2 linked regions of the Xenopus tropicalis genome follow. The protein of the gene in region 1 interacts with the protein of each later gene in a biochemical or structural test. Links are inferred from orthologs where the notes say so. Each region holds a gene or a part of one and is shown on either strand. Other genes may lie near its edges.

Region 1 (4,099 bases):
CCAAAATACTACCACAAACCCACAAAATCAAGGACAAGTAACCATAATAAACTTTAGTGCTGACGTGAGCGTATTGGCTACACTGTGCCTTTAATTCTCCACTGTATTAATCTAATAGTCATATACACGGCCCGCATTAAAAATACAATTAAGGGGCAGTTCACCTTTATATTAACTTTTGGTGCAATGTAGAGAGTACTATTCTGAGTTAATTTGCAGTTGGTCTTTTATTTTTTTTATTATTTAGGTTTTTAAGTGGCAACTCTCCAGTTTGGTATGTCCAGCAGCTATCCGGTTGCTGGGGTCCAATTTAACCTAGCAACCAGGCAGTGGATTGAAAGAGAGACAGAGATATGATAGAGGAGGGCCTACATAGAAATGTAAGTAATACAAAGTAACAATAACAATAAAACTGGAGCCTCACAGAGCAATAGGTTTTTGGCTGCCGGGGTCAGTGACCCCCATTTGAAAGCTGGAAAGAGGCAGAAGAAGGAGCAAATAATTAAAAAACTATACAAAATAAAAATGAAGACCAACTAAAAAGTTGCAAAGAATAGGCCACTCTGTAACAGAGTTAACTACCCCTGTAATGAAAAGGTTTCACAATCTGGCTGCACTGCTGGTTCTGACTACTGAAACAATGCAGGGATACCCCGGAGGAGGCTGGACTTCTGCTACATGTGAGAGTCCCAGAGGACAGGAAGGCCCAAATGCTGCTTTGATTTCATTTATCAATTACAAAAAACCACTAGAATGTATAATGAATTTATATCGGCAAGTTGCTTAGGATTACATTATCGAAACAGTTTTTGGGTGCAGTTGCCCTTTAATGCTCCATACCATACACTGCAGCCACATTGTTATCCGACTGCTGCCCACCAGCATATCCGGCTATACTTTTTTACACAGAGGGGTAAAGGAAGAGTTAAGTGGAGCCACGTTTTAGGGTGAAGACACACAGAGCTACTTAGTAGCAGCTACTTGTCACAGCGACAGAAACAGACAATGCTGATCATTTACTGATAACTGTCTCTACTTGTGCTTTAGCAGAGGCAATTCTCAGTATTGTCTATGGCAGGGGATTTTCTGGAGTTTAGTAGCCGTGACAAGTAGCTGCTACTAAGTAGCCCAGTGTGTCTTCACCCTAAGTGTTTGTATCAAATAGTATTATGCAGGATATTGTTATTACTACATTGAGTTTTGCCCCTATGCCCCGAGAGTTACAGAGAGACAGGAATGGTGACTTAATTACTATCAAACTGGATTGTGGGCCCAGAGGCCCATTCCTCGCTCACGGAACCGTTACAAAGACAGGGCCCAAATTCATTTACGAAAATAAACCGCTTTGAAACGATACAGCGCGGCTCGGCATGAAAATGCAAAACACATAATTTGTCATTTATTTCCATTACCCTCATTAAGTTGCATTCACCCAATAATAGCCAGAGGCAATGTAACACAGGAACTAGACCTGTACAAGTGAAGCTTGTAAGGGCATGCTGGGAGTTGTAGTTCCATAACAGAAGAACCCCCATAGGTTTGTGGATAAAGCGCTACTCTGAGAATACTGCATAGCCCAGATATGATGCTATTGTTATTATACTGGCGATATTAAAAAAAATATTCATTTCAATCCGAGCGCAATTGAGGCCTAAACGCTTATCTAGCAGTAAGTTCCCTGCGTTACTAACAGCCCCCGTATAGGGAAACGGTCTCCGGCTAGAACGTTCTACTAGCGGTAAATGAGGTTATCTTGTCATGGTCTAGAGACAGTCCCACCCACAACAGTCTAGAAAGAATTTGTTTGCCATTGTCTCCACTGCAGGACAAACAGCAAAACAAAGATCTTCCCATTAGGACAGACGGATAATCCAACTCTACGAGCGGCGCAAAGAGACTATTGTTCGGCGCACGTTATAGATTGGGATTATTTATACAGAGCATTATCCGTACAGATGTTGCCGCGGCGCATCTGGACATAGGCATTAACGTGCCACAATTACAGATGTCTTCTACGAGAATAATGGGCAATAAAATTGTCAAATTGATAATAAAATAAGAACAATAAGCCAGGCGCGAGCGGCACCGCCGCGGTACAAGGGACGGGGATTGTGGAGAGGGTATCACCTACGTACAGTGGTTGGAACTGCTCCAGTGTTGACTTCGAAGTGGCGTCCCGTAGGGATGCATGGTCCCGAGTCCTTTCTCCTGCAATAGGCAAGCCCGGTTCTGGCTATAGAAATCCATCATATGGTAGTGCGTCGGGCTAGTGCCCAAACCAGGAACGTCCACATTCTCGTACATCCTACAATCCCTTCCAAATTCACCATATAACAAAAAGAAAAGAAAAAAAAAAATGGGGGGGTGGAAGAGAATTCAGCAGTCTGGGGTTGAATTGGAATTTTTAGGGTAATAGGGGGGGAAAAACCCCAAAGATCCGGTAGGAAATTGTTATGGACTTAGGAGGAATCCCACAGCAGAGCCATTGGAGATTCTCCAAGTCGGTGGGAAATGCAGGGATGGGCTTCTGCAGGCAGATCCGCTGGGAATATCACATGGGAGACTCTCCGCACGGATTCCATCAAATAACTGGAACTGGGGGGGGAGTCCTGGGTGTAAAACGTGAACCCCACTAGCTGCATATAGGGTGGTCCGTGCAGAGCCTTTCCTTGTGTCCCAGAACCCTACATGCCCTTTCCATCATGCTGCAGCGTAGCCCAATTTTTTGCTTCTCAATCTGTTGTTCTTCCGGCTGAAGTCATGGAATCCCTGGCACAGCACAACGGGGGCAGAACCCCCACTCCGAACCACTTAATTTGGGGGGCACCCAGTTTGGCTGGGGATCAGGGAGAGTGGCAGGGGATTAAAAGGGTTGCCCGGCATGTCGATCCCTTACCTATAAGTCTTAATTAGGCCAAATCTGTTGGGGATCAGCTCCCAATCCCTACAGGGGCAGCTGGAGTCCTTGCAGGCAGATAGTGTGAGATAAGGGGCAATTCTTCTCAGCAGGGGGAAGGGGGTTGCCCTGTAATGGAAGGTCTCTCTATGGACCCCCAGTCAACTTCTCCTGCTGCAGAATCTGCACAACTTCCTGTGTGGGATCTCCTTGTTAGCACAACGGGCTCCTTGTTAGGATCAATGCTAATGGGGACGGTTATCCTTGCACCCCCAGGGGCGACCGGTGCCACAGACTGAAGGATCCCTGGTCAGACGGAGGTATTCCTGCAGGCTTCCCTGGGTATGTGGGTTACTAGGCAGAATGGAGGCTCCATGCAGAATGGGGATGCCCGGTTTCCTGGTAACGCGGCGGAGGGGCTTCCCTGCTCTCCTGTAATGGGCCGAGGCGCATTGGGGGAATACTGTTCCTCTCAGGACTGATCCCCGTGACACACACACACCGCTCAATGCTGCAAACTCTACAGCCGTGTCTCCTCCTGCCTCCTCCCCCTCCTGATGGACTGGAGGCAGCTGAGCCTCGCAAGTCAACACCCCCTATCTTTTAACCCATTGCATGCCACTGGGGGCACAGCTCAATCACAACAAAGCCTGCCCTGCCCATTTCCCACCTTCCTGTGTATTCCTGCCATGATCTAAATACCCCAACCCCCCCCTTCAATACCCCCCTCATTTGCCTAATATCATGCATGTGACCTCTCAGTGACCCTCTCGCCTCACCTCCAAACGACCCAACCGTCTCCTTCTCTCACAGTGACATCACAGACATTTCCCCCCCCCCCCCCCCGCATATTTGGGAATCAACTGACCCCTCCCCCCCCCAGTACTAGTATGGCAGGCTCCTGCTAATAAATACAAATGAGTGTATATACCCCCACACCAGCCCAACACCAGTGGCTTTATAACTTATTCTGATTTTGGCCTGACAAGTTTTTTTTTCCCCCAAAAAAAATAAAAATAAAAATCACTGACTGCTACAACTTGGGTCCCTGCTATGGGCCATGGAATGTAAGCACTGTGGGACGCCCTTCCCAGGGGGCAGCGAGGGTTTTGGGGTAATTATCACCTGAGCAACTGACAATGGTGGCCAACTACAGCAGGTAGGAGCCACCAAGATGCCTGTATGAGGGTTAAGCTGGCCATA
Region 2 (2,156 bases), on another chromosome or scaffold:
CTTTCATTTTCAGTTCAGAATGCCTTAGATGTCACTGCACTAATTGTGTAACCAGTACATGGATACTGATATCAGGTCCCCCCATACTGGCACAGAAACAAGATTTTAGCAGGATGCATAGCTTGCCTTAATAACAGTGTCCACAAAATGGAGCCTGCATGTTTTCTGCAATTCCAGTGCAAAAGGAAATAAGTTTAAAATTATTTATATAGTGTAATTGAAGTTTATTTTGCTTGACAAACACAATAGAAAACAATTTGTAATTATTTCTTAGGGTGGCAGGTCCCCCTTAAGACACCTCCTGTCCCAGTCTGGAAATTTTACTCTTTTTAATGCATAAGATCACACTAGTAAATTACTGCCACACAACTAGAGAGGAAAATATATACATTTAAGGAATCATCAAAATCTTAAACTATACATGGTATAAAGTAGCATATATATATATAATATACTTTATGTAATAGCAGACTAGGTAGAAAAATGACAAATACACAATGTATCTTTAAAGAATACATTTATTTTGTTTTCCACTGAAGAAAAGTGACTATTTGCAACCAAAAAAAAATAAATAAATATTAAATTTCAACAGTAAACCAGTGTATAGATTAAGTGCTACACTTACATTTAACCTAGTGAGACTTGACTCATATCAAAATTGTTTTCAGTCACCCAAAGAACAATAAAACAAAAGTATCATTTTTTCTGTATTTTCTTTTCTTTATGGCAAGTATCTTTAACCTATTATGAATAATAACTAATACCACTGTTTTCTTGTTTTTGTTTGTATCTAAGAAAGCTTCTCAATAAACAAGGCTTTAAAATATCTCTCCAGCACCTTAAAGTGTATTTGGCACAAGTTAAAATATCTGGGATTGCAGACAACTTCAGTATTGTCAATATGGATGTCAACATCTTCCAGTTATAACTTGTTGTGTGCCATAAGCCACGTGACAAATGATGTGGAAAACGACTTAATAATTGTCACCTGATCATTTGCAAACTGTTTTACAATTTGCTCAATTCAAAGTGTATATAGGTGGCGTTTAAAGAAAACAAAAGCTGAAATATACAGTTCTATTGAGTAAATATGTTTTGTAACACAAATGTGTGTCATGTGTGACTTTTTGTACTCTTGTAAAAAAGTCACACATGACACACATTTGTGTTACAAAACATATTTACTCAATAGAACTGTATATTTCAGCTATTGGTGGTCCCACTCACACGAGAGAAGCTATTGTGTATATACTGTAGAACAAACAAGAATAGTCATAAAGGAACCAGAGAACATTATAACAAGGATTTCAAATAATGTAGTGCAATGCATGAAAATACATAGAAGCAACATGTACTTTAGTTATAATTTTCATTTATGTAGTCTGTATATAGTGTAGGGATAAACCAAACCCACTATTTTGAGATTCAGCCGAACCATGAATCATTTGTGAATGATTCAGCCAAATACTGAACCGAATCCTAATTTGCATATGCACACTAAGGCATAGAAAAAACGCACAAAATTTTCCCAACTTCCATGTTTGTGGCAAAAATTCACATGATTTTAAGGATTCAGATTCGGCTCAGTCAGGACTATGGATTTGGCCAAATCCTGCCAAAAAAGTCTGAATCTCAGCCAAATGCCAAACCGAATCCTGGATTTGGTGTATCCCTAATATAGTGACAAACAAATATAAGGAGTATAACTGTGGTCACGTTGCAGAAAGCATTTCTTCCTATGTAAGTGTCATTTCATTAACTCATTGAGTAATGTCACAGTATCATTCCGGAAAGGCTGATCCACTGTATGTAAACTCTTTATTGGCATTAAGGGAAGCTTTCACCACAGCATTCTTTTTCAAATGATATTAGCTATAAGTTATTATGGTTTCCATAACTTGCTGTTGCAGTTCTGGAGACATTTATACATGTCACAATAGTAGGTTTTTTATTTTACAAATAATGTTTCCAGCAAAAGTTCTTCCACATTTATCTCACCAGAGATGGGACTGAAAAAAAGTTTTGTGATCACTAAGGGGTTAACTTCTTTTACAGTGTCAAGTGCTTGAAGCATCCAGTTGAAGCGAGCAAGGCTCTGACTGTGCATCATTGAGATAAATTCCATTAGTGTATGCTGGGCTTCCAGCTGCAGAGTG

Evidence for each region. The genes of interacting proteins can lie anywhere in the genome.
Region 2: the proteins of rara (region 1) and nr0b2 form a complex in vitro, tested with the Homo sapiens proteins (2 studies listed by BioGRID). The link is inferred for Xenopus tropicalis from reciprocal best matches to the Homo sapiens genes RARA and NR0B2.

Annotation. Positions count from the first base shown.
Region 1 is NC_030686.2:8,758,065-8,762,163, forward strand, and holds the start of rara (retinoic acid receptor alpha), read right to left. Parts: upstream 2,801-4,099; 5' UTR 2,305-2,800; coding exon 2,136-2,304; intron 1-2,135. UniProt on the Homo sapiens protein: Receptor for retinoic acid. Retinoic acid receptors bind as heterodimers to their target response elements in response to their ligands, all-trans or 9-cis retinoic acid, and regulate gene expression in various biological processes.
Region 2 is NC_030681.2:89,460,358-89,462,513, forward strand, and holds the end of nr0b2 (nuclear receptor subfamily 0 group B member 2), read right to left. Parts: coding exon 1,949-2,156; 3' UTR 501-1,948; downstream 1-500. UniProt on the Homo sapiens protein: Transcriptional regulator that acts as a negative regulator of receptor-dependent signaling pathways. Specifically inhibits transactivation of the nuclear receptor with which it interacts.